7 linked regions of the Cricetulus griseus genome follow. The protein of the gene in region 1 interacts with the protein of each later gene in a biochemical or structural test. Links are inferred from orthologs where the notes say so. Each region holds a gene or a part of one and is shown in the gene's direction. Other genes may lie near its edges. The genes, in order: Plk1, Lrrk1, Csn2, Top2a, Wee1, Nedd1 and Klhl22.

Region 1 (3,205 bases):
CGCTTCAATGTGTGTTTCATTAGACTTAGTTATCTGTAAGCACACAAAGCAAAAGGGTTATACTACTTCACCCATCCTTCCACCTTGTTGGGTGTACAAGGTGACCTTCATTCTTTGCTTGAATTGGTGCCTTCAGGCTGCCTCCCTGAGTGTCAGTGACAGCTGCTGTCCTGGAAGGCCAGGCTGTTGGAGCAGAGACCTGAGCACCTGACACTTTGTGACCTCTCAGTATGTACCACATACCTGACACAGAAAACCTGGTACTGACTCAGTTCCCCCACAGCAGTGATAGTTAATGGGTACTGTGGGAAGACTGTTAGCTGTGGCAGGTAATCCTGTGCTCCCTCCCCAATTTTGTGCCTGGCCAATGAATGACCATGTTGCTCATCTTCTTAGGTGTGGAGAACCCATTGCCTGACCGTCCCCGGGAAAAGGAGGAACCAGTGGTTCGGGAGACGAATGAAGCCATTGAGTGCCACCTTAGTGACTTGCTGCAGCAGTTGACCAGTGTCAATGCCTCTAAGCCCTCAGAGCGAGGGCTGGTGCGGCAAGGTGAGAGGACATCACAGGGGGCTGAACATGTGGAGAAGGCAGGGCATCTCGATCAGCACAGCAGAGAGCCCATTTCTTATAGATCAAAATCCAGATGAGTCAGCATGACACCCAAGACCCTCCTTGGTGTACCTTCTGCTGGTTTCTGCTCCCTCTTGTTTTATAGGTGGCTGATAGGTCACCTCGGCATAGCTGCATCTATTGTGTCTCCTTTCTGCCCAGGGAATTAATACTCCCTTGGTACTCAGAAGATTCGGGACCACTCCAGCCTCAGGGCTTTTGTGCCCTCTGTCACCACCCTGACACCCACTACCAGCACTTCCCAGCCTGACATAATTCTCTATAACATTTCTTCCCAACATATTTGTGTCTTTGCAGAAGGGTCTTGTGTGCACTGAGTTGGTTCTGGCATTGCAGGAGTTGTCAGGTCTGCTCAGTTTCTTCGTCACTTTAATCTGGGGCACTAGGCCTTCACCAGCCCCAGTGCTAATGACAGCAGCTTAAGAGACTTTGATCACACTTCATCTCTGTGGTTGGAACGAGGGCCCTTCTAGATACCTGGGGTTTTCTTTTCCTGTCCTCTCCTTCCTGGGACACAGTAAAGGGGTCCATTTAATGAAGAGGGACTTGGCATCCTGGGCTGCGATTTTCCATTTGGGTGTCTAGGTTTGTACTGTCAGGCTCCTCCCCAGGCTTCATGGGGTACCCCCCTCCTCCCAGCCCTGGGGAGGGCTGCCTGAGAAGACAGGAGAAGGGGCTGGCCTAACCAGTGGTCTGTTTCTATCCCAGAGGAGGCTGAGGATCCTGCATGTATCCCTATCTTCTGGGTCAGCAAGTGGGTGGACTATTCGGACAAGTATGGACTTGGTAGGTGTCTCCAGAATGTGGGATGGGCAGGGGATGGTGTGGCCATGGTAGCCTTTGAGTGAGGAGCAAGTGATGTCTGTAATTGTGTGTCTGTGTTACCAAGAATTGTTAGGGCCTTATGCATGCAGGCACTCTACTACTAAGCTATTTCCCAGGCCTTTGTCCACCTCCTCCTGCCTTTCTGAGATAGCCTTCCACCTGCCATTAGGGTATCAGCTGTGTGACAACAGTGTGGGGGTGCTCTTCAATGACTCAACACGCCTCATCCTCTACAATGACGGTGACAGCCTACAGTACATAGAACGTGATGGCACAGAGTCTTACCTCACCGTGAGCTCCCACCCTAACTCGTTGATGAAGAAGGTGGGAACTGACTGCTGAGGGATGGTTTGGTAGGGTATGGGGGCTACCTCAGGGTCAGGCCCTTATTCTGGAATCCTTACCCCAACTTTTCAACCAGATCACGCTCCTGAAGTATTTCCGAAATTACATGAGTGAACACTTGCTGAAGGCAGGGGCCAACATCACACCTCGGGAAGGTGATGAACTGGCCCGGCTGCCTTACCTGCGAACGTGGTTCCGCACACGCAGTGCCATCATCCTGCACCTCAGCAATGGGACTGTACAAATTAACTTCTTTCAGGTGTGCAGGGACAGGCGCCTGTACTTAGGGTGGCTGGATGGGGTGGGAGTAATGTCCCTTTCGCCAGCTGGGGTGCCTTCCTTCCCTTGCCTCAACCTCAGGCACCAGCTGAGCTCTTCACTCACTTCCTTCTTCCCTCCTAGGACCACACAAAACTTATCCTGTGCCCTCTGATGGCAGCAGTGACCTATATCGATGAGAAGAGGGACTTCCGCACATACCGCCTAAGTCTTCTGGAGGAATATGGTTGCTGCAAGGAACTGGCTAGCCGGCTACGCTATGCCCGTACCATGGTAGACAAGCTGCTAAGCTCGCGCTCTGCCAGCAACCGCCTGAAGGCCTCCTCTTAGGCCTCTGTCCTTCGGACTGGTGCTGCTTCACTCTGCAAGCTCTGTGTGGGCCTGCACTGCTGGGCTCCTGGGGCTGCTGTCCAGTGCTCCCTGGCTCTGGGGGCTGGGTGGGGAGCAGTGCACCCCCCTGAAGGGGTTGCTGTGTAAGTTATTTTTGTACATGTTTGGGTGTGGGTTACAGCCTCCTCCCCTGCCCTCAGCCCACTGTATGGATTGTATAGATATTTCTATTGAACTTGGGACTGCCCTTTTATTAGCTTTATATACATTAAATATATGTACATTGCCTCCCCCCCTTTTTTTTTTAATTCTGTATTTCTTGAGGGTACCGTGACCCCAAAGTATTTCTCTGCTCCAACAGCCTCAGGCTGCTAAACCGCTGCCCATCTTTTCTGACACTCCTGAGACCAGACTGAGCCATGTGTTTAACTCCTTGGTCCACCTTTGGAGCCCCTGGTTGTCTGAGCTCTTTGTGGCATCTGGCAGGAGTTCCTGGTATCCAAAGCTGGCGGATAGTAGGGCAGAAAGAGGCTCTCAGAAGCGCAGGTCCTCATGGCATGGTGGGTGTGGAGCAGCAGCCTTGGGAAACGGTGTGTGAAGTACTGGATGAAGCCAGCAGGGAGTTGGCCTAGTGCCTGGTGTACCTCAGTTGGGAGCTCCCTGTAGTGGTGCTTCTGGGGATGGGTAGGACAAAGATCCTGGCTTAGCTATGCCAGGCCATCCCTGGTCCATTTCCCACCCAGGCTCTAGTACACACCTTATTCCTCATGGCACGGAGTAGGTCTCTCACTGA
Region 2 (3,500 bases), about 52 Mb from region 1:
CACTTGCTCGCTTCAGTAATCCTGGCCTCCGAGAGCTTCCTCCTGAGCTAGGCCAGCTGGGAAACCTCTGGCAACTGGACATTGAAGACCTGAACATTGGCAATGTACCTGCAGAGATCAGGAAAGAAGGTAGGGCCTCCTCAGCCCTGTTCACATCACTGCCGTGAAAAGATAACTCAGGTTCCCTTGGTAGCTTTGAAGGATGGAGTCAGTGGGTGAATGAACTGTGGGGCCCAACTCCAACCTCAGAGTTTGGGGAGATGGCCCCAGCACAGTAGCTCTCAACAGCGATTAGCTATCAACAGCGATAAGCTACCAACATCAATTGGGAATGGCTAGGTAGTAAAATACGGCAACCAGGGCAGCAAGGATATTGTCCTTCAGTCCTGGCTGTCACACTTAATTTTGGGGGTAGTTATTGTCATCCCTTCCTGCTCTCAGATTCCTCATCTTCCCTTGGAACACCTAGAAATTGGGATGGAATTTGGCCTCTTAAGAAATGTGAGTGCATCCCCGTTATACATCACCTAGGGTGTTCACTTGCCCCCTCCTCTGATTTCTCACAGGCCCCAAAGCGACACTGTCCTTCCTGCGTGCTCAGCTACGCAAAGCAGAGAAGTGTAAGCTGATGAAGATGATCCTCGTAGGTCCCCCACGCCAGGGCAAGTCCACACTCCTGGAGATCTTACAGACGGGGAAGGCCCCCCAGGTAGCACACAGCGAGGCCACCATCAGAACCACCAAGTGGGAGCTCCAGAGGCCAGCAGGCTCCAAAGCCAAGGTGAAGGATGGTGGACATGCAGTGGGAGGGAGGGACCTCCCTGTGGTCTGTTCTCCATTCCCCTGGAGACCCTGGACATTCTGAGTGCAAGGCCCAAGACATTCTGTGCTGTTGCTCACCAGCTCTTGCCAAGAGTGACGAATCGGTTCTTTCCATGACCTTGTAGTCTTTCTGTCATAATGAAGTCAAGGCTCTGGGCCAATGGTTCTTGACCCTGCTTGTCTGCTGGATTCCCCTGTGGTTCTCTCTGAGTGCATGCTCAGACTTCAAAGCTGGCCTCGGTGACTTAGCTTCAAATAGGCTGGGGTGGGGCTCCCCTAGGGCTAAGAACAAAGCACCAGAGCAGACAGTGAGGTGTACCTCAGCATCTCTCAGCCCCCTTAAAAGGAGACTGAGAAGGTACCCCAGGAGTCAGTCCATCATCCTCCCTGATTCCTGCTTCCATTCAAGCCCTGAAAAAATTCCATTCAATATCCTGTTTAAGATGAATTCTTTACCAATTTGTTCATCATCTTCTTTTCTATTCAGGACCAAGCAGGTGGAAATAAACTTTTTTTAAAAAAGCCTTTTGAAGCAGAAAAGAACCAGTGGGACCTCAGCCTGGCACTTATGTTACACTTTTATGTTGCTGTGACCAAAATGCAAAATACCTATCAGAAATGACTTAGAGGGGAGCATATATATGTGGTTTATTCCACTGTTGCTTGGTCCCTTCTGTTGAGCAGAACATCATGATGGTTGATGTGTCTGATGAAGATAGCTGCTCACACTGTGGGGGACAAGAAGCAGGGAGTGACAGGAAGTGGCCAGGATAATACCCTCCCAAGGACTCGCCTCTAGTGACCTACTGCCCCCAAGTCTCACCTCCCACATCTCTAGAACCTCCTAAGATTTCACCAGCAGGAGACCAAGTGTTCAAGACATAAGCCACTAGCAGACATTTCCAGTTCAAACCATAACAGCACTCCATCCGTAGAACAGACATAAAGTGGTTTTCCCCGAGTGCCAGACAGTACCGTCCTCCTCTGCTGTATGTGTGTCTCTGCCTCACTGTGGTGATTCAGGGATCCCCGGTGGAGAAAGGGTGACAGGGTAGAAAGCAGAGAGGCTGTGTCCAGAATGGGCCTGGTTTTCTTCTCCAAGCCCAGCACAATGAGGGCTAAGTTTGACTGCAGAGTTTTTGTACATAAAACCACCTTCCAAATCAGGGAAATCCAGTTTGAGAAACGGAACCTTCTGATGGTGTAAGCAAACATACTAGGAGCTTCCCCCCCCCCCCGCAACAGGACCCTTGGGGCTAGGAGTACACATTGGTAGGACAGCCTGTGCTGGGCATTTGTAAGGCCACGAGTTCAATCTCCAGCACCCAAAATAAAAATAAGAGCAGGGTCCTGCCTGTTGAGTTCCGAACAGTGATGTAATGAATGCCAGGCCTACTCGGAACAGACAGGGAGTGACTCTAGCTGACTCACGTCTGACGGTTCTCTCAAGTAACCAGAATTTTCTACAGTACCCTTGGCTTTGCTGTTTTGTCAGTGACTCAGTCACTTTTGCTCCCAGCTTTTCTTCAGTGCATGGGTGCCCAGGCTGGCCTGAAACCGCCTTCACTCGAAAGCCACTGCTGCTCTTGTGGGCCCCTCCTGCCCTGTGCGGCTGACCTTTAGCTGGCTAAGAACAGCTGTCTGCTTTCATCTGTATACTAAACCAGGTCAGCATGCTGTATGTCTTAGAGGCCAAATGCTGCCTCATGGAAATGACTCCTGGCTATAGCTCACTGTAGTCTTGGTTTCCAGGCCAGCTCTGAGCTCATATAGTGATAGAGAAACCGTTTCCACGGCCTTACTGGCAGCCCAGTTCCTGTTGTTGGATTCTCAAGTCAGGGGGGATTTCCCAAGCCTCATTGGTGGGCCCTAACCTTTGACCTACATAAGTTCAAGGGTGCCTCCTCCATTTGGCCCTTGCACAGATAGGGTGGAGCCATGATGTCAAAGTGGGGGCCCTTCTGCCACCAGATGTCTTCCAACTGTGGAGAGCCTAAGATAAGCAATATGACAGGCCATGATCTTCTCAGATGCCCTACTCTGTTTGCAGCAAATAGAAGCTCCCAGAAGTCTACCTTTGGGCCACTGGGCTCTTTTCCCTCACCAGGATTGCTAACTTAGACACACTGGAGTCTGTAACTTTTCTACCACTGCATTGTCTTTTCCAGACACATTCCAGGTTGTAAACTTTCTTGTGGTTTCCTCACTCCCTCGGTCACTCAAATGTGCCCCCCCTTCTGTGCCTTCTTGCTCAAGTAGGTTGAGTCCGTGGAGTTCAACGTCTGGGACATTGGGGGTCCTGCCAGCATGGCCACCGTCAATCAGTGCTTCTTCACAGACAAGGCCCTGTATGTAGTGGTCTGGAACCTGGCACTGGGGGAGGAAGCTGTGGCCAACCTCCAGTTCTGGCTGCTCAACATCGAGGTGAGGAGCCACCATCTTTGCCTTCTAGTACTCAGGACCCAGCACCACAGGGTTCTGTGTTCTGAAGCATTATGTGGATCAAGAACAAAGGGACAGTGCACAGGAGAAAGAAGGGCTTTCCCAGGGGGGTCCCAAATCGTGGCCTTGCATGATTTTCATACTGAGAACTCAGAGGCCTCCTGGTCCTTAGGGCCCAGTGCTCTTGTCATTTTCTTACTTACCTGAAACCTAATAGCCCATGCATGCAAGGCACT
Region 3 (4,082 bases), on another chromosome or scaffold:
GCTTCACATTCACTCTTGTCCTCCACGAAAGGTAAGAATTTCAGACATGTTTTGACATATTATTTTCATAATTTATTTAGAACTAAATTAGACTAGAAATAATGGAAATAATATAATTACAGTTTTTTGAAATTAGATATTTAAGAAGTAATGAGATTATTTTAAAAGCAAGGCTTAAAATATAGAAATGTCTAGAAAGATTTGGTAAAAATTACAATGGCTATTGGCTTTATGAAAACAAGAACATGTAACAATAAATACAAGGCCAGTGAATGGTATAAAGAAGAGACTAAGGATTGACTTCTTTAATAAGCTATCTTATTTGATTTGCTGTTCTTTAGTAATAAAATGTACTCAAATTATATCATGGAAAGATTGATATTTCTTGGGCAACAATTAGAAGCAACAAATTACATGTTTTGTACACAAGAAGATTACAACCGTAAAACTTGTCCAGAGTCTTGGAATTCTTGATCTAGCTCATAATGTTTTACATGTGAGATATTAACAATTGTAAAAATAGAGACAAAGTCTTCTGTTTGTAAAATAATTGTAGGAAGATTAGATATTACTTTGAAACCATGATTATGGAAATAAGATGAGTTGAAAGAAAAGTGGCTTATAGTGTGCCAGGTAAAAACAAAGTTCCAGTTTAAAGATGGATACATAAAATGGTAAGGATAAAATATAAGAATTGCAGTGGGATTCTCCCTACATGCATAATCTACAAGGGTACAAATTTCTTTTAAACTAAGACAATTAAATTATATGGAAACCCATGGAGGAGTCTTTAGACAAGGAAAGGTTCTTAATGAATTATGCAGCATCCATCCAAAAAACCCAAACCAGCTTTTTACTAATGGAATAATTTTCCACCGTCAAGTATTGGAAAGAATGCTTTGTAAACATATCTAAATTTTTATTTTTCATGCTGAGATCACTCACCAGCAACACAACAGTTTATGCACAGTCTATTATTTCACTCTAGAAGTGAGGCTCCCTAGTGCTGATGTCTTCATAATCTGGAAATGCTGAATAGTTTTTTCATTAAAAGGGTTCCATAGTCATGACTTCTTCATAGTTTTGTAAGGCGCCCATACTCCCATTAACAATAGAGTGCTAACAAAGAAGAAAGGAAGAGAGCTGTGAGCAGAAAATACTGCTGGTAGCTGCTGAAGTCTGAATTTGATGTTAGACATAGGATATTTAGGAGCCAGAGTAGATTTTAATTGACTCATCCCTTACAACTCGTTCATCTTTTCATTCACAGGACCTGACAGCCATGAAGGTCTTCATACTTTCCTGCCTTGTGGCACTTGCTCTTGCTAGTGAGGTGGGTAAAGAAGCTTCCTATGTAATTAAGATGTAGTGAACGGTCCTCTCACTTGTAGACAGTAACAGTAGTGATGGCTCAGTGTGTAATTAATGGAGAGCTTCAGATCTGTTTATTTAATCAATGCTTCTTTGAGAGTCACAAAGTTTTGTTGTCCCAAAGTTCCTATAGGCTCTCAAAACTGGAACAAATGCTTATTGTGTTATTGGACCACCAGTTCCAAATGAAAAGTAAAACAGACAAGAAGTAAAACAAGAAAATAGAAATACATCAAGTAAATATAACTCCACAGAAGTAGACTCACACACGTGGCTTCAGTATCTCATTCTGGTGATAAAGTGCATGCATTTCTTTGATAATCAGGTCAAGTCTTACTGTGTCTGCCCAAAGGGAAATTCAGAGGAAGGAACATATTCAAGAATTGTGGTAGACTTGTAGGCATAATAAAAAAATGCCTAGTAGAAATTAAAGTAACTTCTTTTTTCCTCACTCATCAAAAATTCCCCAAGTTCATCCAATGTAGGAATGTGCCAATAAAAATTATTAAATTATTAGAGAGAGTAAATGTGTTTTCAAGATTCTAAAAGGCTTATAACTTTTTTGGTTTTTAAGTTTCTGAAAGAGGTAGATGACATAAAAATGAAATAGGAAGGATATTTAGTAGCAAGGTAGATTTTGTCACTAATAAGTACTTTTATTTCTTTTTACAAAAGGAATCACTCAGCATATCCTCTGAGGTAAGAGGTTTTATTGAGAAAAAATTTTAATCCTAAAATAACTATATTTTTAATGATCTGGAAGTCCTAATTGGATCTATAAATTAACACATTTGTATTACTAATGTTTTTGCATACTGAGAGCATTTCCAGCAGTGAGGGAAAGCAATTCTGTCTCAGAGGCAACTTGTAGACTTAGAACACCAAAGTGCTTCTTTTCTGTTGAGTTACATTGTGTTAGCCACACTATAACATATTCCTGTTTGGTAAATATGCTGTGCATTGTATTGGGAAGAAAAATATCTAGATAGCTGCATAATTAGAATTTTCCAAGTTAGTTTCTTATTTGAAATTTTTAACTGCCTCTTCTACACCTTTTTATTTGAGAAGCTCACAATCGTATTCTCTGCCAAGAGCTCTCCCTAATTTGACATGCATTTTTATTATTACTATGTGCTTTTTATGGATTGCTCATTGGCTAGTAGCTACAGTCCAAACTAAAGACAGATACCAATAGAAATACATACATGTGCTATACTGGGTAGGCCTGTTTGCAAAAGGATGCATTTGGTTATTAAAGTTGTCATTAGGTAAATAAAAAAGTAAGATGCAATATAGTCCTAAATGTACCTGAGTGTATCAAATAGATACACTCAGTCTTTACCTTGAACTATTTATTTGTATGTGTTATCATTTGTTTATTAGTGAATACAATTATATACATTTCTTTTCAGAATTCTACAAATGCTCAGAGGAAGTGTTTGTTTCTCATAGTTTATTTGGAGGCTAGTATATTAGCAAGTACTATAATAAGTACTCTTAGCTGTCATTAGACTGTATTTTCAACTCTGTTTCTGTGTTTGGTTTTAAGAATTAAATGGGATTTAAAGATCATTTGTAGCCAGAGAAAGAACTATGGTTGTAAAGGGAATTAACATTGCTTAGATGTCTCTTTATATACTGTGCTCACTCATTCACTTTTCTCTCTTGATGACACTCATCTTTCTTGTATACAATAGGCTTATACAAAATGTTTTAGATAGTTTAAATATAAGATTTCATCAATTTTCCTATTAGTAACCTATTAAAATAGCTTACCAGATACCTTAATTTTAATACCCATTGAAAATACTATTTACTCAGTAAAAATTAATTATTTTTTTTATTTTTCTGAAGGAATCTTCTGAAAGCATCAGTAAGGTAAACCCATTATATTTAATATCCATGATTTATTCATGAAGATAAAAGTTTTGAGATTTTTAATGTACACTTTGTTTCTAACAGAAACTTCAGATGGTTGGACAAATGGAACAGCTGCAAGCAAGGGTAAATTGCTCTTGAAGAGTTTATGTCTTGGTTTTGTGATGTGTAATGAATGCCAGAAAATAATTATAGCATGTATGTTCATAGCAAACAGTGGTCATATACCACCAGTGCTATGAAAGCATACTCAAGTGTCAATGTATTTTCTAAATCATGATTGCAGTTACTAGTGGTATTATCTGTTCTTAATAATTAACATAAGCATTTCCCCAGTAGAAACAATGTCCTTTTTATTTTCTAAATGAATATGATGATGAAAGGACACATTGAGAATGTGGCAGAAATCCTATACTGAACACCTGCCAGAAGAATAATATTGCTTATTAGTCTCTTTATAGTTCATTTTCTTCACCTGTAAGCTGAACACAATCTTAATTTTTTTCCATGAATGCAATTAATTGGCCTTTAGTAGAGTTAATGGTTTTAATTCACATTTGGTTTATGAAAACATTTGTACTTTATGTTTACCTAGTCTTAAGGGCATTTCTAGTTCAAAGATAAGTGGAGTGAGATATGGAACAACTGATTGGACCACTGCTTAAGCTGTATAGTAGAAGAGGTTGCCTTCAAATCAATGCTTTTCTGAATAGTGTCAAGTTCCACTATTAAATCACACTTACATAATAGTTGAACTTTGATAGTTTGTTTTCCTCAGTAAATTGCTTGTTGCTCACATTTTTCAAGTCAAATTAAAATTTTAAAAATTGATA
Region 4 (3,500 bases), on another chromosome or scaffold:
TGCCTTCTACTGGCCTCCTTGGGCACCAACCCACACACATAGTGCACTGGGATACATGCAGATAATACACCTATACACATAACATTATTTTTGATTAAAAGGGGATATAATGGCACTGGAAAAGTGAAGACAGGCAGGTTCCTAGGGGAATTGCTAGCCAATTATGGAGCTTCAAATTAGGTGAAAGATGCTGTTTCAAAAAACAGAAACTTGTGGGTGGCTCCTGAGGAATGACACCCGAAGTTGACCTGACCTTTACATGCATGCATACACATACATATATACCTACATACAAAAGACAAGAATTTTTTTTTTTTTTTGAAGTCCTGCTGTGTAGCTCTGGCTATCTTGGAACTCACTCTGTAGGCCAGGCTAGCCTGGAACTTACAGAGCTCCACTTGCCTCTGCCTCCTAAGTTCCTACCAATTAGTGTTTTTTTGTTTTGTTTTTTAAGATTTTATTTATTATGTATGCAACATTCTGCTTCCATGTATATCTGCACACCAGAAGAGGGCACCAGATCTTATAACAGATGGTTGTGAGCCACCATGTGGTTGCTGGGAATTGAACTCAGGACCTCAGAAAGAGCAGTCAGTGCTCTTAACCTCTGAGCCATCTCTCCAGCCCCCTACCAATTAGTTTTTAACAATAGGTCACTCACTGGTTCAGAGCCTTCTACTTGCCCAGAGTAAATTTAGCTAACCAGACCTTGTGAGATCACTGACCTGGGGCTCCCTATATCTTTTGATCTTTTTTCATATCACCAGTCTTCCAGATAAACTATCTTGGGCTTAGGAGGTGGCTCAGTGAGTAAAATGCTTGCTACACACGCATGTGGTCCTGAGTTTGAGTAATCTGAAGCTGGGTACAGCTGCCAGGCAGTGGTGGCGCACGCCTTTCGTCCCAGCACTCAGGAGGCAGAGGCAGGGGAATCTCTGAGTTCGAGACCAACCTGTTCTACAAGAGCTAGTTCCAGGACAGGCTACAAAGCTACACAAGGAAACCCTGTCTTGAAAAACAAACAAACAAAAAGCTGTGTATAGCAGCGGATGTGTGTCTGTAATCCTGGTTCTCTGATGGTGTAATGGAAGTGGAGGCAGGAGAATCCCTGTAAGCTGGGATACACAATAAATACCAAGCAACAAAAGAGTCCCTGTCTCAAAAAGGTGGCAGGCAAAGATTGATACCCAGGGTTGTCCTTGTACCTCCATGTGTGTCCATATTAACACGCTCTAAATAGATACATATTACCTACTTACACAAAGGGGGAGAGAAAACAGAGCTAACTCCTGTCCTCTATATCAGCTTTCCACAGGCACCTGCCTCATGCCTCACATCTTAACACTCTTTCTGTTGCTGTTCTGTAACACCCTACCCACTTTAGCATTCTTTTGTGTGTTATATATGCATGTGTGGAGAAATTTGGGTGCCAACCACCCCCTTATTTTTAAGGCAACATCTCTCACTGACCAAGTCCTTACTTGGCTAGCTTGCAAGTCCTGTCTTCACCTGCCCAGCACTAGGGTTATAAATGAATGCTACTACACTCATTTTTATGTGGGTTGTCCTAGGATTAAAACTCAGGTCTTGCTGGGCGGTTGTAGCTCACTCCTTTAATCCCAGCACTGGGAGGCAGAGGCAGGAAGATCTCTGTGAGTTCGAGGCCAGCCTGGTCTACAAGAGCTAGTTCCAGGACAGCCTCCAAAGCCACAGAGGAACCCTGTCTCGGGAAAAAAAAAAAAAACAACTCAGGTTCTTGAACTATCTGCCCAGCCCAGCCAGCCCAGCACTCTTTTTTTTATTTGGTTTAGTTTTTTGAACCAGTCTTAATATATATTTAAGCTAAGCCTCAAACTCAAAATCCTCTTCTCACTGCATCTCCAGGTACCAGGGTTATAGATGTGTTACTATAGCACACATTTCTTTGTGCCAAAGTATTCACTGTATTAATTTTCCTTTTTAGCATTCTGCCCTACAGAATACATATTCATTATCTGTCTACCTGTACTAAATCATGAGCTTGGCAGGTTTTTGTTTGGGTTTGGATTTGGAGCAAGATCTCACTATATTCCTTGATGGGCCTGGAGCTCATAGACCTATCTGTCTCTGCCTCAGCCCTCCGAATGCAGGCTTGCCCAGGTAACCGAATGTAAGAAGTTTCAAGGCCATTTTGCTAAATGATATTCTTTGCTTTCTTTAGCCCTTTGACTCGGTTGTTATTTCCACCAAAAGATGATCACACATTAAAGTTTTTATATGATGACAATCAGCGTGTTGAACCTGAATGGTACATTCCTATTATTCCCATGGTGCTGATAAATGGCGCTGAGGGAATTGGTACCGGGTGGTCCTGCAAAATCCCCAACTTTGATATCCGTGAAGTCGTAAATAATATCAGACGACTGTTGGATGGAGAAGAGCCTCTGCCCATGGTAAGTGTTGTGGGTTAGGAACTTTACCACAGGCATAGTTGAATAAATTCTACAGTAAAGAGTGTACAAACACAAGATTTATTTCATATATTAGATTTGTTTTTTGAACATATTTGTGATTTAACTTTTAAAAAACTTTTGTTGTTAATTTAGCTCCCAAGTTACAAAAATTTCAAAGGTACTATTGAAGAGCTGGCTTCTAATCAGTATGTGATTAATGGAGAAGTAGCTATTCTAAATTCCACAACCATTGAAATCTCAGAGCTTCCCATCAGAACGTGGACTCAGGTAAATATCTTAATTTTTTGGTTTTTCAAGTGAAAGATGTTATTGTTGCTGTTGACTATTCAAGAGACTCCTTATAAAACGATTACTGTCCTTTGTTTTTTTTTTGTTTTGTTTTGTTTTTAGACTTACAAAGAACAGGTTCTAGAACCCATGTTGAATGGTACTGAGAAGACACCCCCTCTTATAACAGACTATAGGGAATACCACACAGACACCACTGTCAAGTTTGTCATAAAGATGACTGAAGAAAAATTAGCAGAGGCAGAGAGAGTGGGACTACACAAAGTCTTCAAACTGCAGACTAGTCTCACTTGCAACTCTATGGTATGTCTTATTTTGTAAGAGATACATCTTTAAAAACTAATATTGTTGGCATGTGGGTCCCCTCTAGTAATCCTAGTGATCTGAAGAAAGAGACAGGAGGATCACTATGAATTCCAAAGCTATCTTGTGCTGTATAGTCTCAAAAGGAAAGGCTGGAGAGATGTCTCAGCAGTTAAGAACACTTAATGCTTGTTCTCAGCACTGGGTTCAGTTCTCAGCACCCACATGGCAGGCAGTTCACAACTGTGTGACTCAGTTCTGAGCGATTCAAGGGCCTCTTTTGGCCTCCATGGGATAGTGCTCTAAGCACAGGTTGCAATACAAACATGCAGGCAAACATCCATTGATGTAAAATCTTTTTTCAGTAATTGATAATTGATATTTAACGGGCATTTCTGATAATTTTTATAAAGGTTATGCAATTTATTGATTCAAAGCTTGAGTCTTCTTTTCTTT
Region 5 (3,500 bases), about 12 Mb from region 1:
ATTAATGGCATGCGCTACCTCCAACTGGCTAAGCCTACACAGTGGATTGTTTCTATTTTTAAATTGTTTCCATAAAGATGAGAAGTGTGTGGTTTAGAGGGCCACAGAGATGGCTTGATGGTTGAGAGTGCTTGTTTTGCAATAACAAGTACTAGAGTACAAATTCCAGCATCAATGCAACAGGTTAGGCTTCCTGAATATGCTTCTATCCCACCCCAGCTCCCAGGAAAGCAGAGACAGGAGAATCACTGGGGCTTGCTCATTTGTAGTTTAGCAGAGAAAATGTGAATGAACCCTGCCTGCATTCAGGGAGTGATGCTGCCTCAAAGAAAAAGATAGAAAGGCACTAATACCCTATTCTACCTTCCAGATATACATTACATATATAAAAATCTTGTTTAAAAAAAAAAGAAATGTAGTTGGCTAACTAGCAGGGCTACATAGAGACCCTGTCTCAAAAAAAAAAAAAAAAAAAAAGGTTTAGAAACACTTGATATAGTAAGGTTTACCCTTGTTTATTTTCATGAATAACAGTCTAATTTGTGAGTCAGTAAGTGATGTAGATAGTAAAGACCTCTTCCCTTTCCTGGTTTATTAGTTTATTTAGAGACAGGATCTCGCTATGTATTTCTGGCTGGCCTCAAACTCCAAGATATCTGTCTGCCCCTACCTCCAGAGTGCTGAAGATTAAAGGTGTGTGTCACCATGCTCTGCTCTTGTTCTCTCTGGAGGTTTCCCCCTCAGAAAAAGAGGAAGAAACAGATGGTTTACTCTGAGAAAGTGAACTGAGTTGGTTGCTGAGGTTAATAAGTTGAAAGAAAATTTAAATCATGTTTTCCTTCTCAGCACTGAGAATTTAACCTAGGACCTATATATGTTCAGTAGGCATTGAATCCTGCCCTTTTTAAATTTTGAGACTGTCTTTACTAAGTTATCCAGGCTAGCCTTATATTCATTTTGTAGACTAAGCTGGCCTCAAACTTATGGTCTTCCTGCCTTAGCCTCCCAAATAGCTAGTATTATGTGCCTCCATCACCAAGCCTGGTGTTTGTTACATTGTATTTTTTATATTTGTTAGTATTTCCTACTAAAACAATAAATAAAAGTTGATATCGCAAGCAAGTTGAAGAGAGAGATTCTATTAAACATTTTCTTGATGGAGAATTGCAGTTGTTCACTATAGAGAGAAGGGAACATAAAAAATGTTTTGGTAAATTTTAATAAAAGGAAATTAACAAAAATGTTAATTTTTGCTGTTTTTGTTAGGTGGGAGTTTGGCTGATGCTATAAGTGAGAACTACAGAACCATGAGCTACTTTACTGAAGTAGAGCTAAAGGATCTGCTTTTGCAAGTTGGCCGGGGCTTGAGATACATACACTCAATGTGTTTGGTTCATATGGATATAAAACCTAGTAAGTATTCTAGATGGCTGTACTGTTTAGAACCTGGATAATGGGAATAAATTACTTCATTGTAGCAATATGAAAACATCTTTCTACTTTTCATTGATTACTTACTAGTATTGTTTTATGATGAGGACTAGACCCCTTACCCCTGCCCCAAACTGGCCCAAGTATTTCATGGTTGATTCCTTTAAACTGGTATCTGTTTCAGTATCATACTATGCATCTGGCTATATCATTTTCCTTTTTCAGGTTTCACTCTTCTACATTTTTTCTTTGTTAATCTATAGTTTGTTTTTATTTTCTGTTCATTGGTGTTTTGACTTTGTGTATGTCTGTGAGGGTATCAGAATCCCTGGAACTGGATTTATAGACAGGTGAGAGTTGCCATGTAGGTGTTAGGAATTGAACCTGATCCTCTGGTAGAACACCTAGTGTTCGTAACCAGTGAGACATCTTCCCATCCTCTCTACTTCTTAAAAATTGTAGGCTTAGTCCTACAGATAAACTCCCATGTTTAACTTGTTGCTTTCTTGTATTTTTAGCTTATATCTTCCTTATATTTCCTGTAAATTGAAAGTTAGAAGGGTTGATGGTTTCAAACTAACCATTGCAGGCAAAGTGCTTTTCTTATAAAACAGCAACAACAAAAATCAACTAAGTAGATGGTATTGTGTCACACACCTTTAATCCCAGTACTCAAGAGGCAAAGCAAGTTGCAGGATAGTCAGAGTTGTTACACAAACCCTGTCTTGGGGGAAGCAACTAATTTTTAATTTATGTATATGTGTGCATTTGAGTGAATTTATGTGTACCATCTGTAATCAGAAGCCCTTGAAAGCTAGACAAGCATGTTGAAAACTTTGGAACTGAAGTTAGAGGCATTTGTGAGCCACCATGTGGGTTCTACATCTTTGAAAAGGTTCCTTTAAAATTGAATTTTATATTGCCAGGTGTTGGTGGAGCATGCCTTTAATCCCAACACTCGAGAGGCAGAGACAGTCGGATCTCTGAGTTCGAGGCCAGCCTGGTCTCCAGAGCTAGTGCCAGGATAGGCTCCAAAGCTACACAGAGAAACCCTGTCTTGAAAAACCAAAAAAAAAAAAAAAGATAAAATTTTTATAGATAAAACTTTTTACAGATAAAAATATTTGCTTTTATTGTAAGGGAGCATGTCAATTTGGGAAATCTTAAGTAGTTTTATACAACTTGTGAGTTGCAGTTAAAAATTTTTCACCTGACTAAAGTTTGTTGTAAAGGAAGAACAAAAACAAATGTAGTGTCGTAGACAATAACCTGCACTTGAGAGACAGAGGCAGTGGAAGCCAAGCTTAGTTTATATAGTTAGTTCCAGACTAGCCAGGACTGCAAAAGTAAACCCATATCTCCAAAAAACAAAACAAAAACAAAAACAGGAAAAAATGTTTGGAATAGTCATGAGATCAGAATCTGTAAGATTAGGCAATACTACTTTATCTTTTTGGGTTTTTCCAAGATAGGTTTTCTCTGTAGTTTTGGAGGCTGTCCTGGAACTCACTCTGTAGACCAGGCTGGCCTCAAACTCGGGAGATCTGCCTCCCGAGTGCTGAGATTAAAGGTGTGTGCCACCAACGCCTGGCTTATTTTGGGTTTTTTAAGACAGGATTTCTCTGTGTAGCCCTGGCTGTCCTGGAACTTGCTTTGTAGACCAAACTGGCCTCAAACACATTGAGATCCGCCTGCCTTTGCCTCCAGAGTTCTGGGATTAAAAGGCATGCACCACCACTCCTAGCTTTATTGGTATTATTTATATTTATATTTGACCTTGTTTGTTAAATATAGTTATTTTGATTCAATAGGTAATATTTTCATATCTCGAACCTCAATCCCGAATGCTGTCTCTGAAGAAGGAGATGAAGATGACTGGATATCCAACAAAGTTATGTTTAAAATAGGTAAAACTATTAATGATAAGTTAAATTAGGAGTTGGGGGTGTTGAGTGAGTAGATATGAGCCTGGTAGGCATGTATGTGCAACAGAGCATGTATAGATGTTAGAGGACAAACTTATGTGATAGTCCTCATGTTCCGTCTTGTTTCATGTTGGGGCCTTTTGT
Region 6 (4,004 bases), on another chromosome or scaffold:
ATAGTTTTGGTGTTGACGTTTTCCCACACCATATAATACAAATCTTAAATTTCTTGCTGGTTACAGTGTTAGGAATTTGTCTCTTCTATTTGAAGCATACTTCTCTTCTTTACTCGACTTTCTCAGATCTCAACGTGTTAGGCCAAATCCCCAGCAAAAAAACATAATAAAACCAAAAGCTTCAGAATACCTGAGGCAGATACGACTCACAGCCTTCATTTTATGGTTGCTCCCCATCAGTCTCTGGAAGCTATGTAGGACTTCATTTTCCCTTCTAGGGGTGTGTGTGTGGGGGGGTGGGGGCGTGGGGATTGGGACATTGTAGGCTTCCAGTTATGCAGTATGGGTACAGATAACCGAGACATTATGTACCCAGTTCTGAAATACATTGCGTGTGCACCTAGGACAAACGTATAAACTTTCCATAGAAACACCGTCTCAGTAATCAAAGTGAAAATTGTCACTAGAGCAGTCACTTAGCAAGGAAAACTCAGTTCTTTGGTTCTTTTCCACCCCGAGACAAATTCCTTCAGAAAAAGAACCACGGAGTTGGTGCTCATGGAACCGATCCAGCAGCACAAGAGGCTTGGGATTTAAAGATGGTTAGCTCAGAGGCTTAGGCCACCTGAGTTTGTTCTCAACCTCCAGGGTTAGGGTTCAATTTGGGTTAGGTCTTTCTTAATTATCAGCTTCACGCGGCTGCTTCTTCATGGAATCCTTTCCTAAACCAACATCCACGTTAATTTCCTTTATTAGAGACTTCCTCACATTTTCTTTGTGATGACTGTGACATCCTTTTGTGGCAACTGACAGCTGCCAAAGTTGGCCTCTAGTTCCCTGTCTTTTACTCTGTTATCCCTTTCCCTTTTCCCCTTATGTTTACATAAAGAGTTGTTAATACTAGCTCCCTACGTTCCCCATCTTTTACTCTGTTATCCCTTTCCCTCTATGTTTACATAAAGAGTTGTTGATACTAGCTCCCTACAGGCCACTGTGAGCTCCATCAGGCCAAGGGACCTGAGAGTTCACACATCTACTGTTCCTCTAGGCTAAGCCCATTAGTACACACCCACAGCCTAACACAGTGCTGGACACACAGCAGCAACCAGCAACACGAAAGTAACAAAGGCGCAGTAGCTACAAGGATAGGGTAGCTCCCTTTGCACCGCCCCTGTCTGGGCTCCCACCCAGCTGGCGGGACGCTCAGACCCTGGCTTCTCCCGTGACGTCACGCGGGGCGGGACTTCCGGCCGCCCAAGTTTAACAGTCCAGGCGGGAGCGGAAGCGCAGCGAGGAGCGGCTGGAGCTGGGCCCCCTGTGGCCCCATACCGGAGAGGTGAGGTTCCGCCGGATGCGGGGCTGCGAGCACCCGGCTCAGGGCGGCGGCGGGGACCCCGGGGTCAGTCGCCTCGGCCCGGGACGGGATCGCGGGCCCCAGAGTTGCGGGCAGAGCTGTCCCGGGCGGCCTGCTCTCTCTCGGGTCCGCAGCCGCCCTGGGCCTGGGGTGCGTTCCGAGTGTGGCTCGGAACTCTCTCTGAGCGACCGATATCAGATCCCAGAAGTCAAGCGAGGAGAAACTGAAACGACCTGGGCAGGTCGCTTAACTCAGCTTTTGGGACCCTTGATCCACCGGTTGCTCCACACTGCCCAGTAGGCACCTTGTGCGGCATTATGATAGCAACTTGTTGCAGTTGTGTCTACTGCACTTAAGAGTTCTACTCTCCACGCTTGCTTTTTCCTTGAGCAGGGCAACGGGGCGAGTAGGGTACATGCTTCATAGTCACCGAGTAGAAACCTTGTCTAAGCCAGGCAGTGGTGGCGCACGCCTTTAATCTCAGCACTCGGGAGGCAGAGACAGGTGGATCTCTGTGAGTTCGAGGCCAGCCTGGTCTACAAGAGCTAGTTCCAGGACAACCTCCAGAGCCACAGAGAAACCCTGCCTCGAATCCCCTCCCCCCCAAAAAAAGTGAGCTATCTACCGTACAGTGGCGGCGCACACCTTTGATTCCAGTGCTCGGGAGTCAGAGGCAGGAAGATCTCTGTGAATTTGAGGTCAGTCTGGTCTACACAGCAAGTTCCAGGACAGCCAGGGCTACACAGAGAAACCCTGTCTTGAAAAAAAGTGAGCTATCTAGCCCAGATTGGTTTTATTTCTTTGAATCAGGGTGTGATTCTGTAGCCTAGTCTGGCTTCAAGTTCATGTCAGTCCTCTTTCCTCTGCTTCCCAAGGGATGGGACTACGGGACTATGGGTAATGCTTCATCATGCCTGGCTCCTCAGCTGTAGAGACTTAACTTCTTAACTGAAGCTTTTGGAAATTTTTAGACAGCAGTGAGCCGTGTGAGCTATGTTCCCTGACACCGTCCCAGTACACAAACTTCTTCTTCTTCTTCTTTTTTTTTTTTCCTCGGTTTTTTGAGACAGGGTTTCTCTGTGGCGTTGGAGGCTGTCCTGGAACTAGCTCTTTTAGACCAGGCTGGTCTCGAACTCACAGAGATCCACCTGCCTCTGCCTCCCGAGTGCTGGGATTAAAGGTGTGCCCCACCAACGCCCGGCTGCACACAGACATCTTATAGCTAATTAAGACCACCCATAGTCAGGCGGTGGTGGCTTGTACGCCCTTAGTCCCAGCACTCGGGAGGCAGAGGCAGACAGATCTCTGTGAGTTCAAGACCAGCCTGGTCTACAAAAGCTAGTTCCAGGACAGCCTCCAAAGCCACAGAGAAACCCTGTCTCGAAAAACCATGTAGACCATGCTGGCTTCACACTCAGAGAGATCTGTCTGCCTCTGCCTCCCAAGTGCTGGGGATTAAAGGCGTTTGCCACCACCGCCCAGCATGCCCTAATTTTAAAAACTTCATTGATTTTATTTACAAAAAAAAGTTGGCTACAGCCCACTTCATTCAAATTCATTGCTGTATATTAGTCTTTAGATACAGGCAGTAGAACTGTTTTGTTGATGGTTATTATTGGGTAATAATACAGTATTCGTCTGTTTGTTTTTAAGATATGGTTTCTGTGTAGCCCTGACTGTACTGGAACTCAGAGATCCTCCTGCCTCTGTCTCTGGAGTTCTGGGATCAAAGACTTTCGCCACTATGCCCAACCCTATGGGTCAGTACTCTTGTACCACCTGTACTGAGGTTTCGAGTATGCCTTTCCTTTCTTCTCTCCTGTGTATTTTTTTTTTACACTGTCTCCTACACCACCTGCTGCTCTTCAGAGTATCTCCAGCAGCCTTTCAAGTTCTCTCTGGACTACTTTGGCTTCTGGTATCACTTTGTTGGAATTATGGTTTGGAATATCACACTGAATAAAAAGTGAGAGGTTGTGAACCAAGAGTTATAGTTAGGACACATTGACAATTTCTTTAAACATGTTGCTAATTTTAGAGTTTGAAAAACTTGGGATAATGGGATTGAGGCTTCTAGGAATACTAGATTGTGCTACTTTTTTTTTTTTTTTCTAAAGATGAGAACATAGATACTCTTTTTTGTGGTATACTTTATGGATCAGGAATGTTTCAAGTCTCCTATATGGGGAGGCAGATATTGTTATGGGAACAAATAAGACAACAGAAGTTTCATGAAAAACATTGAGTTGGGTGGAATATAGGGTAACTGGTAAAGGGCTGCTTTCACCACAGTAGATAGGAAAACTACCTTTTAGAGGCAGAGATATTTGTGCTGAGACCTGAATGATAAGGGCATGGCTTAGGGGAATCTGGGAGGAGCTTTCCAGGTAGAGGGGGCAGCAGATGAAGAGACACTAAGATGAGGATGACCTTGGCTTGATACATAGACAAGAAGACCACCAGTGTTGAGATCTAGTGGTCCCAGAGGAGAGAGCTGGGAGATCTGCATGGACATACCTATCCTGTAAGGTGGCCTGAGGAGTTTGGGATTATTGGGGCTGCTGGGGTAGACTCCTGGGAGGATGAGCTAAGAGTATGTGATTTGACTAGTCTGTAGATCACTCTAGTGTGTATGATGTTTGGAATAAAA
Region 7 (3,500 bases), on another chromosome or scaffold:
AAATATATGGTAGGGAACTGGGAATGGTAAGTAAGGAGGCAAAAGATAGAGAAGATTCATGGCCTTCTAAATGGCTGACCTGTGCTAAAACATATAGTTGGCCACAGGCCCTGTCTTACCTCCAGGCTGGTTGCTTCCTGACCCTAGTAGCTGACTATGCACAGTTGTTTCTGGTTCATATTTCTCTCTCTCTCTCTCTCTCTCTCTCTCTCTCTCTCTCTCTCTCTCTGTGTGTGTGTGTGTGTGTGTGTGTGTGTGTGTGTGTGTGTTGGCAAAGGGATATTTGTAGTAGGTTTGGTTTTCTTGGTTGGGTTTTTATGGCTCCTTTTAAAATCATTTTGCAGTTTTTGAGCATACTGGCCAAATTATTAGAAGGTAATCTTTTTTTTGTTGTTTTGAGACAGGGTCTTCTCTACTTAGCCCTAGCTGTCCTGGAACTTACTATGTAGACCAGGCTGGCCTTGAACTCACAGAGATCCACCTGACTCTGCCTCTCTAGTGCTGGGATTGAAGGCCTGAGCTACCACACCCAGCTTTAGAAGGTAATATTTATTGGTTTGGAGTTTATTTGTTTGTTTTTTGACATAGCTCAGGTTTGCCTTAGACTCTTATTTGTTGAAAGGATGGCCTTGATTTTAAAAAATGTGGTATGTGTGTATGTGTTTACATATCTGCGTGCATATGAGTGCAGGTGCCCACAGAAGCTAGACATCAGATCCCTGTAGAGCTGGAGTTGCAGGCAGTTGTGAGCTGCTTGACATGAGTGATGGGAATTGAACTCTGGTCCTGTGGAAGAGAGCAGTACACTGAGCCATCCTTTAGTCCTGCTCCCCTCCCCCAAAGATTTTTGTTGTTGTTGTTTCAAGACAGGGTTTCTCTGTAACTCTGGCTGTCCTGGAACTCCCTCTATAGACCAGGCTGGACTTGAACTCACAGAGCTTCACCTGCCTCTGTCTCCCAAGTGCCAGGATTACAGGCATGTGCTATCACACCCAGCAAAAGATTTATTTTTATTTTATTTATTTATTTATTTATTTATTTATTGGTTTTTCGAGACAGGGTTTCTCTGTGAGGCTTTGGAGCCTATCCTGGCACTCGCTCTGGAGACCAGACTGGCCTCGAACTCACAGAGATCCTCCTTCCTCTGCCTCCCAAGTGCTGGGAATAAAGGCGTGCGCCACCAACGCCCCGCAATATTTATTTTTATTTTATGTACATGGATGTTTTGCCTACATGTATATGTGTGCACCATGTGCATACCTGATGCCTGTGGAAGCCAGAAGAGGGCATTGGATCCCCTTGGAGTTGGAGTTACAAACAGCATAAGGAACCATGTGGGTCCCAGAAATTAAACTCTGATCCTCTAGACGAGCAGTAGCCAGTGCTTTTAATTACTGAGCCATCTCTCCAATACCTACTTATTTTCCTTTTGAACCAGGCAATGGTGGTGAATGTCTTGAATCCCAGCACTTGGGAGGCAGAGGCAGGCAGGTCTCTGAGTTTGACACCAGCCTGGTCTCCAGGGTGAGTTGCAGGACAGCCAGATCTACACAGAGAAACCCTGTTTTAGAAAAGCAAACAAAAAAATTGTGAAATTGTAAGGTGTTAATGAGGTGCTTTTTTTGGCTTTAGGGATAAGAAAGAGCTAATACTGATAAACTCAAAGGTCACATAGGTTTGGCCTGAGCAAAGTCTATTTGCTGTTTTAGCACTGTTTTTTTTTTTTTTTTTTTTTGAGACAGGGTCTTGCCTTGTAGCCTGGCTGGCCTGGAGTTTACTTGCTATATAGATCAGACTTGTCTCAAACTCAGAGTGCTGGGATTAAAGTCAGAGTCACTGAGTCTGGCTTGTTTTAGTATTCCTGTTTGAGATCTTCCTCAAAGGTGGGGGATATTGTTGTAGGCCATCTTTTGGTGTCTTGACAGTTACATGGACATTCTTAACTCTCAGCCAATGAAAAATAAACCTGATTGTGGTAGTGAGAGGCTGTGTGTTTCTCCCATGTTCTCTTAGCTTTCCCTGTCTTTCTTTCCTGCCTCAAGTCTTCTCCCAAAATTCTTCTCTGTCCAGGGCTCAGGATCAAATACTAGGCAAGTGCTTTACTGAATCACACCCCTGTCTTCTTTTTAATTCTCTTAAGTTTTCGGCCCTTGAGTTTGTGATCTTCTAGTCTCAGCCTTCCAAGTAGCTGGGATTATGTTTGTGAGTCATCCTGCTAGCCTCAGAATACTTCTGTTTTCCTGCAGTGCTGAAGGTGGCACAATAGGATGAAGACCTTGTGGATGAAGAGACCAGGTTATAAGACAGAAGGCCAAGTGGGACCATGGCCGGGAGGAAACAGGGAATAGAGACTTTGGGATCACAGGGAAGTCACTGTAGCAGGTGCCACAGGTGCAAAGCCTTCAGCCTATGTGGCATCGTGCAGCTCCCTACATGCTCACTCCTTGTTCCCTCTGTCTTACAGCTGACTACAGTGGTCAGGGCTGCTGTGGCTGTCAGGATGGCAGAGGAGCAGGACTTTTTCCAGCTGTGCAAGCTGCCAACACAGCCCTCCCACTCACACTATGTCAGCAACACCTATCGAAGCACACAGCACTCCCAGGCCCTGCTCCGGGGCCTGCTTGCTTTGAGAGACAGTGGGATCCTCTTTGATGTTGTCCTGGTGGTAGAGGGGAGACACATTGAGGCTCATCGAATTCTGCTGGCTGCATCATGTGATTATTTCAGGTAAGCTATGTTTATTTTTTCAATGTTTTTATTAATGGGTTTCATTATGATACTCTCGTACATGTATATAATGTGTTTTGATCATATTCTCCTTAGTACTCTTGTTCCACTCCCAGTGACTGCCTTCTTCCCTACTAGTCCTCCTTCTACATTTCTGTTTTGTTTTTGTAGAGCCACTGAGTATATTAGGGTCTCTAGCAGGAGAGTTGGGTGAAAGGTTATTTAGTGACATGAGGAGTACCTTACTGGTGGCTGTCTTCCCTCAGCAACCACTGTGTATAGATCCTCAAGGAGGAGAAGCCTTATGCACTCCTCCCCTGTAACAGTTTCTGTAGGACTGATAAAAGGTAGTCTTAGCTTTACCAAGTGTGGTTACTGGTACTGGAGGTGGCTGGGTCTTCTCTTTCCTTTGAGGCTCTCAGCTGTGGAGACTCCACCAACCAGCCTGGCACAGAAGAGATCTTAAGAGTTTGTCTTTCAGTTTGGCTCTCTGCTGGGTATGTTCTCATTTTTCAAAACTGCATCATTACTGGCTTGACTTCCATTGTTGTTGGGAGGTTTTGTTTTGTTTTCAAGACAGTTTCTCCATGTAACTCTGGCTGTCACTCTGTAGACTAGACTGGCCTCCAACTCAGACATCTACCTGCCTCTGCCCCCCTACCATGACTGGCTTTTGGGGTATGTGTGTGTGAGAGAGAGAGTTTTCTTTTTACTTTACTGTGGGCTTAAAGCCATGGAAATTGAAAGAATAGTGTGTGATGAGCATAATAATT

Evidence for each region.
Region 2: the proteins of Plk1 (region 1) and Lrrk1 form a complex in vitro, tested with the Homo sapiens proteins (2 studies listed by BioGRID, with this or other methods). The link is inferred for Cricetulus griseus from reciprocal best matches to the Homo sapiens genes PLK1 and LRRK1.
Region 3: of the proteins of Plk1 (region 1) and Csn2, one has a biochemical effect on the other in vitro, tested with the Homo sapiens proteins (3 studies listed by BioGRID). The link is inferred for Cricetulus griseus from reciprocal best matches to the Homo sapiens genes PLK1 and CSN2.
Region 4: of the proteins of Plk1 (region 1) and Top2a, one has a biochemical effect on the other in vitro, tested with the Homo sapiens proteins (2 studies listed by BioGRID). The link is inferred for Cricetulus griseus from reciprocal best matches to the Homo sapiens genes PLK1 and TOP2A.
Region 5: the proteins of Plk1 (region 1) and Wee1 form a complex in vitro, tested with the Homo sapiens proteins (2 studies listed by BioGRID, with this or other methods). The link is inferred for Cricetulus griseus from reciprocal best matches to the Homo sapiens genes PLK1 and WEE1.
Region 6: the proteins of Plk1 (region 1) and Nedd1 form a complex in vitro, tested with the Homo sapiens proteins (2 studies listed by BioGRID). The link is inferred for Cricetulus griseus from reciprocal best matches to the Homo sapiens genes PLK1 and NEDD1.
Region 7: the proteins of Plk1 (region 1) and Klhl22 form a complex in vitro, tested with the Homo sapiens proteins (2 studies listed by BioGRID, with this or other methods). The link is inferred for Cricetulus griseus from reciprocal best matches to the Homo sapiens genes PLK1 and KLHL22.

The regions. Positions count from the first base shown.
Region 1 is NC_048596.1:78,499,339-78,502,543, reverse strand, and holds the end of Plk1 (serine/threonine-protein kinase PLK1), read left to right. Parts: intron 1-396; coding exon 397-552; intron 553-1,341; coding exon 1,342-1,419; intron 1,420-1,627; coding exon 1,628-1,782; intron 1,783-1,879; coding exon 1,880-2,062; intron 2,063-2,205; coding exon 2,206-2,412; 3' UTR 2,413-2,705; downstream 2,706-3,205. UniProt on the Homo sapiens protein: Serine/threonine-protein kinase that performs several important functions throughout M phase of the cell cycle, including the regulation of centrosome maturation and spindle assembly, the removal of cohesins from chromosome arms, the inactivation of anaphase-promoting complex/cyclosome (APC/C) inhibitors, and the regulation of mitotic exit and cytokinesis.
Region 2 is NC_048596.1:130,973,393-130,976,892, forward strand, and holds part of Lrrk1 (leucine-rich repeat serine/threonine-protein kinase 1), read left to right. Parts: intron 1-16; coding exon 17-129; intron 130-566; coding exon 567-781; intron 782-3,081; coding exon 3,082-3,246; intron 3,247-3,500.
Region 3 is NW_023276807.1:152,937,210-152,941,291, reverse strand, and holds the start of Csn2 (beta-casein), read left to right. Parts: upstream 1-1,282; coding exon 1,283-1,354; intron 1,355-2,046; coding exon 2,047-2,070; intron 2,071-3,225; coding exon 3,226-3,249; intron 3,250-3,333; coding exon 3,334-3,375; intron 3,376-4,082. UniProt on the Homo sapiens protein: Important role in determination of the surface properties of the casein micelles.
Region 4 is NC_048600.1:112,082,388-112,085,887, reverse strand, and holds part of Top2a (DNA topoisomerase 2-alpha), read left to right. Parts: intron 1-2,200; coding exon 2,201-2,432; intron 2,433-2,585; coding exon 2,586-2,720; intron 2,721-2,843; coding exon 2,844-3,044; intron 3,045-3,500. UniProt on the Homo sapiens protein: Key decatenating enzyme that alters DNA topology by binding to two double-stranded DNA molecules, generating a double-stranded break in one of the strands, passing the intact strand through the broken strand, and religating the broken strand.
Region 5 is NC_048596.1:90,565,998-90,569,497, reverse strand, and holds part of Wee1 (wee1-like protein kinase), read left to right. Parts: intron 1-1,266; coding exon 1,267-1,413; intron 1,414-3,242; coding exon 3,243-3,338; intron 3,339-3,500. UniProt on the Homo sapiens protein: Acts as a negative regulator of entry into mitosis (G2 to M transition) by protecting the nucleus from cytoplasmically activated cyclin B1-complexed CDK1 before the onset of mitosis by mediating phosphorylation of CDK1 on 'Tyr-15'.
Region 6 is NW_023276806.1:158,759,238-158,763,241, reverse strand, and holds the start of Nedd1 (protein NEDD1), read left to right. Parts: upstream 1-1,204; 5' UTR 1,205-1,336; intron 1,337-1,631; exon of another isoform or gene 1,632-1,650; intron 1,651-4,004. UniProt on the Homo sapiens protein: Required for mitosis progression. Promotes the nucleation of microtubules from the spindle.
Region 7 is NC_048597.1:71,571,253-71,574,752, reverse strand, and holds part of Klhl22 (kelch-like protein 22), read left to right. Parts: intron 1-2,464; 5' UTR 2,465-2,500; coding exon 2,501-2,727; intron 2,728-3,500. UniProt on the Homo sapiens protein: Substrate-specific adapter of a BCR (BTB-CUL3-RBX1) E3 ubiquitin ligase complex required for chromosome alignment and localization of PLK1 at kinetochores.